Bombyx mori: one gene and its partner. The protein of the gene in region 1 purifies or fractionates together with the protein of each later gene. This does not show direct contact. Links are inferred from orthologs where the notes say so. Each region holds a gene or a part of one and is shown in the gene's direction. Other genes may lie near its edges.

What was found.
Region 2: the proteins of toll-interacting protein (region 1) and cleavage stimulation factor subunit 1 purify together in Homo sapiens (co-immunoprecipitation; 3 studies listed by BioGRID and IntAct, with this or other methods). This does not show direct contact. The link is inferred for Bombyx mori from reciprocal best matches to the Homo sapiens genes TOLLIP and CSTF1.

Annotation. Positions count from the first base shown.
Region 1 is NC_085120.1:7,055,693-7,061,297, reverse strand, and holds the start of toll-interacting protein, read left to right. Parts: upstream 1-2,173; 5' UTR 2,174-2,357; coding exon 2,358-2,405; intron 2,406-2,851; coding exon 2,852-2,965; intron 2,966-3,763; coding exon 3,764-3,839; intron 3,840-4,580; coding exon 4,581-4,692; intron 4,693-5,605. UniProt on the Homo sapiens protein: Component of the signaling pathway of IL-1 and Toll-like receptors. Inhibits cell activation by microbial products. Recruits IRAK1 to the IL-1 receptor complex. Inhibits IRAK1 phosphorylation and kinase activity.
Region 2 is NC_085130.1:10,339,145-10,344,649, forward strand, and holds part of cleavage stimulation factor subunit 1, read left to right. Parts: intron 1-843; coding exon 844-930; intron 931-1,757; coding exon 1,758-1,861; intron 1,862-2,248; coding exon 2,249-2,403; intron 2,404-4,158; coding exon 4,159-4,250; intron 4,251-5,011; coding exon 5,012-5,150; intron 5,151-5,505. UniProt on the Homo sapiens protein: One of the multiple factors required for polyadenylation and 3'-end cleavage of mammalian pre-mRNAs. May be responsible for the interaction of CSTF with other factors to form a stable complex on the pre-mRNA.

The DNA of each region.
Region 1 (5,605 bases):
TATTGTCGCTTAGTCACATTTGCCTTTCAAGCGTCGATATGGGAAAATCCCTCATGTAATAAGTAAAAACATGCCTAAAAGAACTCAGTCCCTGAAGTACCAACCATTATACACTATATTTTCAGATTGTATTATATTTTTAATATGAGTCCAATTTTTATTTGTTTTCATCAGTTGTGCTGGCATGAAGTAAAATTCATTGGCTTAGATGGAAGAAGTACTCACACCTTGCTTAGTGTTGTAACTAGACCACAATAACTCACAAAAAAAAATAACAAAATTAACAATATTAAAATCTTTTTGAAGATTAAAGATTTCCAAATATTTAAATTACATGCAAAACATAGATATCCTATATAAAAATTTGTTTTGTCAATTTGATTGATTTGACTTGCCAGTAAGCAATGTTTTGATATTGTTAGATGTGTACCTAGTCACTAGTTTTAAGGAGTCTGTTTATTTGGAAGTGTAAACTAATTAAAACATAAGTTTAAAATATGCTAATAATATGTTCTAGTAAGTTATACACATAATTTTAATTTTCATTATTTTTTCTACTTTATAACTTGTTTCATTTTAACAGTTGTGACAAAGATAATCAAATAATATAAATGATATGGTTGGCGAATGCAAATAGTCCTTACGCTGAAAAAACACAGAAAGTATTTATTTAAATACCTTGTAATTTACTAACCTTTGGGGTGATGTTGATATCCATTGCAGCTGTTGACTAAAATCGATACCTAATCAACCTTTATCAGTTCACTTTGTGACGTAAACACAAGGCACTCTAATTACAAAAAATCTTAACTGTTAATTTTACACTCAACTAATTTAATAATCAAACGATGCATTTTGTTAGAAAATATAAACCAGACTCGTTAGTCCACTCCATAAATTGGCACAAATAGTGACAGATTTCCGTTTACTTCAAAGAGCAAATTAATGTTTAGTGGTGGTTTAGTGTTTACTTGTCATAGACCTTAATACTCGTCCGTTGTTTACTGCCATTCAGTTTCAAAGAGTAGGGTTAATAGGAAGGAAGCTAGTTCGGGGCTCCATAGATTGTAGTTATAGGACTTATGAGCGACGTAGATTTGTAATTTGTACTTGTATTTGTTTGGACTTGGCGGGAAAGGCGTAACGTTGTTGAAATTGTTTTATTTGTTGAGTTTGCGTTTGTTCGGCGTAATCGTACAATAATTATGATATAGGAGCCGTTTTCCATCTCTGAAAGTACACGAATGTGCGAAAAAGAAGCAGAACGCTTGATTTGGCTTGTCAGACACTTATCTAAATATGTAGTATTTAAATTATTGTCTCAATCAGTTTTTATAGATTTTTTTTTTATTTATTTCTTCTTTCCAATTTTTTTCTCTGTCATTTTTCTTTCTTCCTTTTATTCTTAGACTTCCTCCAAATTGCTTGAAATTTTTCTATCTAGATGTGGTAGTGGTCTTTTTAGTCACCTCTCTTCCAAAAAATCCATTGAAACTCTCAGTATATTCACACCTTTTTACTGAGACTAATAGTCTTATAACTAATATAACTTATAACTAATAAAGCTTTATTTGATTTGCATTTAGTTTTGTTCAACTTTTCATAGAACAGAAGGCCTTCATTTACAAAAGTTACGGCATGAAACCTATTATTTTTGCTCACTGCTTTTGTTGCCCTCATACATCTTATTTATTTTGTATGATATCCATGCTCACGCAGAAAGAACAGGTTACTGTAGCGTCGCACTTCGGAAATGTGAATATTATAGATTTTACTAAGTTAACCCTACAGTTTCAATCTATCTTATCTTAACTAAACTACCTTTAAATCATTATTACTATGAAATGTTTCGTGAACGCTTAAGTGAACTATTTAGAAAAATACATTTTATGTACACTTGTGCACTTTTGCTGATATTAAACTACTACCGCTGGACGTAACTTCTCACCGTCCTCCAAAAAGTACACTGAAAAAGTGTCAGTAAATGACAACCATTTTCATACCCCAACTCATATCTTCTTATCTCATTTCATTTCATTTTAATACCACGTTTCACATTAATCAACTTCATTTCATTTCACTTCATATTAACTTAATTCATTTAAAAATAATATTTATAAATATAAAAGATTAGGTAGGTTGTACACCTTTGCTTTTCCAATTGGAAAAGTTTGTGACAGTGACAGCTGCTTGCCAACTTTCACTGACACTGACATATTGTTTTCATTTTGTTGGATATTGACTATTATTCTGTTTTTCGCATTAATTACGCTGATCATTAAATTAGTAACAATATATTATTCAAATACTTAATACTGAATAAGGCGTTAATATATCAACTTTACGCACCAATCACCATGACTTCAACAATGCCTAATGATACAAATGAAGAACGTCGTCGTAGAGTAAGTACCCAACTACATAATATGAATAAATATACAATGATGATCTCTATAAGATTATTTAAAGAATTTTATAGTCTGTTGGACGTTAATAAACAAGTTTTGTAACCGGTTCTAATATTTAATGTTTTCAATGATTTCATTTAAACTGAATATGATCTAATTTCCATCGAAATTTCTCGAGCTAGCAAGTATTTTTTCCGACAACAAAGAAAGTATAACGACCATCTAAAAGTACAGTTTGACTAGATATTGCAAATTAGTTAAAATTATGGTAATTAAAAAAATATGCTAAAGATATGTTTAATAAAAACTGATAAAAAGAAAGAAAAGCAGCTATGGCTTAAATGGATTACTTAACTTGACATATAAAAATTAACAATATTTGTAATCTACTTCAGCCAGTACTTTAATATTGTTTTCAAAACCATGAATTTCAATCACTATAGGTACTGCTAGGTCCTCTTCCAGCAGGTTTTCTTCGTGCTGATGCTACTTCTGACGGTGTGGACTCTGATTATGAAGCTGCACTTGCTTTACAACAACAGCTATATGGTGCTGCAGTATGTAGATTCTTTATTTTTAATTTAGAATGAACTACATAGTTTTTTGATAGAAACATAACTTAATTTATATATTTATAGTTTTAAGATGTCACAATGGCCTATGGGAGAGGTTTTTTTAAGTCATAACTCAGGAGTATTGAGTTCATACCCTTTTATAAAACATGTTTTTGAAATTATAGAATCTATAATTGATGATATTTGTAAAAAAAGTTACTAATTTATGAAATAAATACTTAATCTGATTTTTACTAATATTGAAAAGTTTCAAAACAATATATAGTATGATCACAACTGTACCTATACTATAGAAAACAGATGCTGTTGGTTATAGTTTCAGTTGACTTTTTAGCGTGCTTTATTTCCTATTTAAGCTGAAAGCCTTGTGAAGCTATGTCAGCTTTGAGTGCTATTCAACCACTTTAGCTCTTTTGGTCTCAAGGTAGTGGCAATCATGTTCAGATTGATCATCTGTCTACTTGGAGCTGTAAATATAATGGTGATAAACTGTACTCATTTGATTTAATTATTTAATTTCATTGCAGAATTTTATTAGTGTTTAGGTGAATTTAGTGTTATTGGTGAGTTAGTGAGGACAGGCAATACAATAGAATTGAAAAAAGATAAGTCTTCAAACCTTTTCCTCAAGATGGTGGATGACTATATAAATTTTGTCATGTACGTAGGCTTCTGTAACTTATCTATCACATCAGGCTATGAGCCCTTTGTTCAACTATGTAGTAATAAAATTTTCCTTCAATATGTAAAGCTAATTATAATGGATGAAATGTTTCTCAGGTACCACAAAGTGGCCCTCCAATGACAGCGAGACTAAGTGTCACTATAGCTCAAGCTAAGCTTGTTAAAAATTATGGTAAGTATTTTTTGAAGTGATAAAAATTTATAGGTCCAAATTTGGCCAATGTTTATTACATTTACCACAATAGCATATGCACATATGTATGCATGATTTATTTAAATCTTACACCAATAATCAAGATCAGAAAGCACATATTCTACATGCGTTTTTTTTAAATTGAATATGGTTCTGCTAATCTTCTTATCAAAATAGGATATCTCAATGAATTTTTTTCTTTTGTTTGTGATATCTAAGATAAGCTGTGACTACTTTTGACTCATATTAGAGATGTGTAAAGTGCTTTGTTGCTTGCATAAAGTTTGATTATAATCAAATTGAATTAGACTTAAAAATTCACAAAATAAACTAATCAACCTTTTTTTCTTTTAAAAGACGCAGAGTCGATAAGTTAAGTGTACTACATCCATATTTATAAATCAACATGGATTCTCTAAACTATCTCAGTATTTGCTTAAGAAACAAGCAACATTTTTATTTTAACCTTGTATTCCGTTTGAGAAGTCATTCATGCCCTAATTTTTTATCTCTTACCTAATTCCTCCGTTTTACTGATTTGATTTTCTTTCTACTGCAAAACAATCTTGCATTCCGTCTTAAAAGCGACTTTAACTGTTATTCTAAAGTAACTGTTTGCCTTGTAAAAAGACCATTTGGAGTGCAGAATACAGTAAACTATTAGTACCAAAAGTGATCATATATCAATATTGAATGATCCTCCTTGAAATATGAACATAGGACTAACTCGTATGGACCCGTATGTTCGTGTGCGTGTTGGACATTGTATATACGAGACTCACACTGATCCGAGCGGCGGGAAGACTCCGAGATGGAACAAGGTCATTCACTGGTATGATATTTTTTTTTTTTTTTTTAATTGCTTTCGTTTGCAGTCTAACAAAAGGATTTAAATTCAACCAAGGCCAAGATTCTTGGCAATAAAAAAAAAAACTATGAGAGGTGACAATATTAGGTGATAGCTGACTAGATAGCATAGAGATTCGCAGGTTTTATGTATGGCACTCAGTGTACCTAAAGGGCGTCACGCACGGCGAAGATACTGTAATATAATCAACATTTTGTATGAACACATGGTTAAGATAATATACATTTGATAGTTCATACGAAATGTATGGCGAGCGATATTGCATGTTAAGATAAAATATTATAGTATCTTCGCCGTGTGTGACGCCCTTAACACAATAACAAATTAAATGACGCGTGGGGTCAATGTTCTCGTGTGACACATATTACGCTGCGCTGTATATTTCTTGAAACTACAGGTACATACATTATTATATTTCTTTTAACATGTTGGGGACCAAGTATTAATTTTTCACATCACAACTCGTTAAGTTACTAAAAATTATAACTTACATCATTATGTGCTTGTTTGCAATATTGGAAGAATGGGCTTTATGAATTTTAAAGCTAGTACTTTGATGGCAAAGCCAAAGAGGCAAGTTACCATGGATATTTGCTAGTTAAACTGACATCAGTACACTTTTTATACTATGCGTCCTATACCGACAGTGAACTAGTAAACTGGTGGTGGATTACTGGTGGTAGGACCTCTTGTGAGTCCGCACGGGTAGGTACCACCGCCCCGCCCATTTCTGCTGTGAAGCAGTAATGCGTTTCGGTTTGAAGGGTGGGGCAGCCGGTGTGACTATACTGAGACCTTAGAACTATATCTCAAGGTGTGTTGCGCATTTACGTTGTAGATGTCTATGGGCTCCAGTAACCACTTAACATCAGGTGGG
Region 2 (5,505 bases), on another chromosome or scaffold:
CATAACGTCACAGTAATATAAAAGCTCATATTAAATAAACAAAAAAAAGAAATATTTTTAAAGTTGCATCATGTAATTATCACATGTGGAAATTTCCTTGGGACCGCTTATCAGCTTTCTAAAATTACTACACTGGTTAGCTTTAAGCTTGACTTGCTTAATTTGAAATATGCTACATTTTAAAAAGACTAGACACATATAAGTAATACATTATTATATTTAATGATATAAATATACACTTGTATGTAAATACAAGTATTAACAATTTTTGTTGCATTCCTAGGTTGTATCTACCAGCCCTAATTTTGTTCCCATAATAGCATATAACTGGGTGAAGTACCTTCAGAATTACATTTGTACATGATGGCGGGTGGCCATCATACGACACAAGATATTTGACAGACGCCTGAATTGCGCTAATGACATTTTCAAGATAATCTTACATATATACAAGTTGCGAACAACAATATTCACCTCAAGGACCGGTCATCGTTCTCGCCGAACCCGTCGCTTGCGACGAAGGGCTCGACGAGTAAATTAACCCAGAGACACAGCCCACTGAGTTGCTCGCCGGATCTTCTCAGTGGGTCGCGTTCCCTATCCGGTGGTAGTTTATGCGAAGCTCGGCTCTTGCTAAGGTTCGTGTTAGCAACGTCGTCAGCCCCGTGAGCTTACCTACTAGTTAAGGTTACGCTGAAATAGCCTTTCATGGCTCTCAGCTTAGGTAGGAGAAAAAAAACAACATTCAGACCATCAGCTTACCCAGAAGTCATATTGTCCTTTGTGTTTATCCCAGTGCCGATAACCAGTTCTACTTATGAAAGCTTGTATGTTCTTTTACAGCCAATTGTACTATGACGGCTACCAGCCCATAGCTGCGACGTTGGCAGCAGCCGTACACGCTGACCCTCCGTGTCCTCCCAGCGACAGGTATCGATAAAATAATCAGTCTACAGTTACTAACAGTCTAAAATAGACAGGACCTAGCTGCCTCATATACAACATCTTCTTCTTTATTGTTCTCTCACTGCTAAGGAATTTTTCTTTATTGCTTAGATGGGTGGACGAGCTCACAGCACACCTGGTGTTAAGCGGTTACTGGAGCCCATAGACATCTACAGCGTAAATGCGCCACCTACCTTGAGATATAAGTTCTAAGGTCTCAAGTATAGTTATAACGGCTGCCCCACCCTTCAAACCGAAACGCATTACTGCTTCACGGCAGAAATAAGCAGGGCGGTGGTACCTACCCGCGCGGACTCACAAGAGGTCCTATCATCAGCGACCACATGTTTTCTTTTCTCTTCTCCATATTGTTCGGTCATGGGTGGCATGGACCGCGCGGTATTAGACTACCACCAACCTCTCTCTTAACCAGATCTGACCATCGGTCTGGTGTTATGCCCACGGCGCGCTTGCCTTCTATGCGGGCTAAAATTAAGATATTCTCTAATTCATGTCTGGGAGACTTCATGATGTGTCCCAAGAAGCTCATAACACATTCTTGGCAGATGGCAGAGAGCCTTACATAGTTACAGTAGGCGCGCGAGTTCATGTCCATCCTGAGGAATGCGGTAGTGCTGTGACCTAGTTAATTATGGTGATGTCGATAATAACTACCGATTTAGTCAACAGCTGTTAATTTGGTTTAATCTAACTAGGTCATTTTGTAAATCTATACATAATTGGAGTGTCTCCAATTTTATTTATTTATATAGAAGATTTGGGGCTGATGAATCAAGCGTGTTTTATTGCAGGTTGCTCAATGTCATGATGGTGGGCCTACAGCATGAGCCAGACAGGAAAGATAGGCTGGCTGCATCGAATGCTGCCGAGCATCTTTTGGGCACAACCGGTTTTGGTGAGTTTTTTTTTACTATTGCTGTCGAAGGCCTCCTAAATTAGTGCTTTCTCCTTTAGGTGCTTCATTAGGTGCTTCATTGCTACTGCAGCAGTTAGTCATTACACACACATTATGGTGGTAGGACCTCTTGTGAGTCCGCACGGGTAGGTACCACCGCCCTGCCTATTTCTGCCGTGAAGCAGTAATGCGTTTCGGCTTGAAGGGTGGGGCAGCCGTTGTGACTATACTTGATACCTTAAAACTTATCTCAAGGTGGGTGGCACATTGAAGTTATAGATGTCTATGGGCCCCGGTAACCAATTAACATCAGGTGGGCCGTGAGCTCGTCCACCCATCTAACCAATAAAAAAAAAATCCTGATTATGGCTTTTCGAACTTCCAAAGACTTGGAGTACGAAATGGACGCTTCCTCCCTGGCCCCTGAGCCGGCCACGTATGAGACGGCATACGTGACTTCGCACAAGATGTCTTGCCGGGCTGGAGCCTTCAGCCACTGCGGACAGCTGGTGGCCACTGGCAGTGTCGATGCCAGTATCAAGGTGAGACTCTGAAAGGCGCTTAACGACTTACAGACAAACTTGGATCTTGGTTCATGATATATACAGTCAAACCTGGATAAGAGAGAGTTCAAGGGAGCACAATCTCATTCTCGTTTAAAGAGGTTTCTCACTAACCCGAGTTTCTCGCTAATGCTCCCTCTGAATTTTATTTCGCGGTTTACGGATTCAAACGCATTCACTACTTTAATTTTCCGTTTTGACATGATGCAGAACAGAACTTTTCTTTGCAATTGATTAACGATAAACTGAGTAAGTCCGACAAACAGGACGGTACACAGGCACACGTGTCCATTCGAAAAGAAAGCGATAAAATAACAACGTTATTTAGTTCCACGAAATAGAATAGGTTCAATATTGACGAGAAAACAATTCAAAAAATATGGTAGAAAGTTCCACAAAAGTTAACAATGAGTCATAAAATAACAGATGTTAAACTTGTAATTTGTTTTTTCATTTGTTCCTCCTAAATCCATCCTCCTCGACTCTCGCCTATAGAGGTATAGATAAGTAGCAGTCTCACTTACGGAGGTCCATGAGGGAAAAACGACTCTCTCTTACAGAGGTTTCTGTTTCTCTCTAATAGAGGTTTTGGGAGCTTAAAATGACGGGTCCTGGCTATTACTCTCACTTATAGAGTTTTCTCACTTATCCAGTTCTCACTTATCCAGGTTTGACTGTATATATAATAAATACCATATCATTTGCAAGTATTTAAAGTAAGAAAAAATTAACGCTGTCCTAATCGATTATAATAAATAAATATCTGAAATGGTAGTGCAAGGTAGAGGGGGTCGACCGAAGAAGACATGGATGGAGTGTGTGAATGACGATATGAGAGAGAGAGAGGAGTGAGTGTTGAGTTGACGGCTTATAGAAGAGAATGGAAGAGAAAAAATTGCTGTGCCGACTCCACCTAGTGGGATAAGGTGGAGACAAAGAAGAAAAAGAAGAAATAAAAAAAAAATTGCCAATATAATTTAATCAAAAGACTAAGTATAAGTACAGTACAGTATTTGCCTTTTTGACTAATTTTTCAATCATAATTGTGTTTTGATGTGCAAAAAAAAGAATGCCGTCTCTCTTTCTCCTTCTCTCTCACTCTCTGTCTCTCTCTTAATTTTTTTTTACAATCTTATTCTAAATCCACAATTTGTATATAACTATGCGCTAGCGACTTACTTGCGTGGACCTATGTGTGCTCACGGTTTTTTTTTATAATATCTTGCAACATAATCCCAACGCAATTTAGAAAATCAGTGGCGCCATCTATGGAGCGTCACGGTAAACCTTAAAAACCTCTTTTATTTATTTTATTGCCCTTTTGGGCAGAAGAACATACGGCCCACCTGATGGCGAGTGGTTACCGTCGCCCATGGACTTCAGTGATGCCAGGGGCAGAGCCTGGCCGCCGCCTACCGTTAAACTTTAATACTCCGTATTAAAGGAGGGTGAAGATCTGAAACCCTAACCTATAGATGCAGGCCACTGAGTTTCTCGCCGGATCTTCTCAGTGGGGCGCGTTTCCGATCCGGTGGTGGATTCTGCGAAGTACTACTCTGACTAGTGCTAGTGTTAGCATGCTCTTTCAGGTTGAGCCCGTGAGCTCACCTACCCGCGCGTAGCTGAAATAGTCCCTTAGGTTACCAACGAACAGGTATCGAAACAAAAATATCCGATACTCATAGACTTGGTTAAAGAGATGGATTCTGAATTCTATTGGCGTCATTTTACCAGATTTTAGATGTGGAGAGGATGCTCGCGAAATCAGCTCCCGAGGAGGTGGAGCAAGGGAGGGAGCAACAGGGGCATCCCGTCATCAGAACCCTGTGAGTAATGGGCTTTCAATTCAAGGCTTAATCGTCATCAGAACCCTGTGAGTAATGGGCTTTCAATTCAAGGCTCAATCGTCATCGGAACCCTGTGAGCAATGAATGGGCTTTCAATTCAAGGCTTAATCGGCATCAGAACCCTGTGAGTAATGGGTCGGGTTTCAAGGCTCAATCGTATCTTAGATACTATCGGCGCTTTCTTCAAGTACTCAAAAGTCAGGGGAGCTTACTGAGGAAAGCTGATGGCGATGTTACTAACTTAGACGATGAGGCAATTATAGCTGTACCTTAAAGCGGCCTTGCTAAGAGCCACTTAAAGTCTAACGTGCCGATTTCCATTTTTCCTATAAAACTAAAATTCTGAAGGCTCAACAGAAATATTGAGGAGTCAGTCTCAAAGCTGCGTCCCCGAAACCACGATTGGCGCGCGATATTGTTAGATTAAGGTCGCCATAAGAACAATCATGACTAGGAGATTCAACCCGCAATATTATAATTTGCGTAATTACTGGTGGTAGGACCTCTTGTAAGTCCGCGCGGGTAAGTACCACCACCCCGCCTATTCCTGCCGTGAATCAGTAATGCGTTTCGGTTTGAAGGGCGGGGCAGCCGTTGTAACTACACTGAGACCTTAGAGATTATATCTCAAGGTGGGTGGCGCATTTACGTTATAGATCTCTAGAGGCTCCAGTAACCACTTAACACCAGGTGGGCTGTGAGCTTGTCCACCCATCTAAGCAATATATATTTTTACGCAGATACGACCACACTGATGAAATTACAGCGCTCGATTTTCATCCCCGAGAACAGATCTTAGTGTCGGCATCAAGGGATAACTGCATCAAGCTCTTCGACATCACCAAAGCATCAGCGAAGAAGGCCTTTAAATCAATTACGGTATGCATCGAGAGTTCTACACTACACTACTACAGACGCAGTCTTCTGCAGCTCTGTACTGATCCCGAGCTCTTCTCGTATACAAACAGACACAGATCCGACCTACATCTAGCCTCTAGTCCTATACTACACTACTACAGACACAGTCCTCTGCAGCTCTGTACTGATCCCGAGCTCTTCTCGTATACAAACAGACACAGATCCGACCTACATCTAGCCTCTAGTCCTATACTACACTACTACAGACACAGTCCTCTGCAGCTCTGTACTGATCCCGAGCTCTTCTCGTACACAAACAGACACAGATCCGACCTACATCTAGCCTCTAGTCCTATACTACACTACTACAGACACA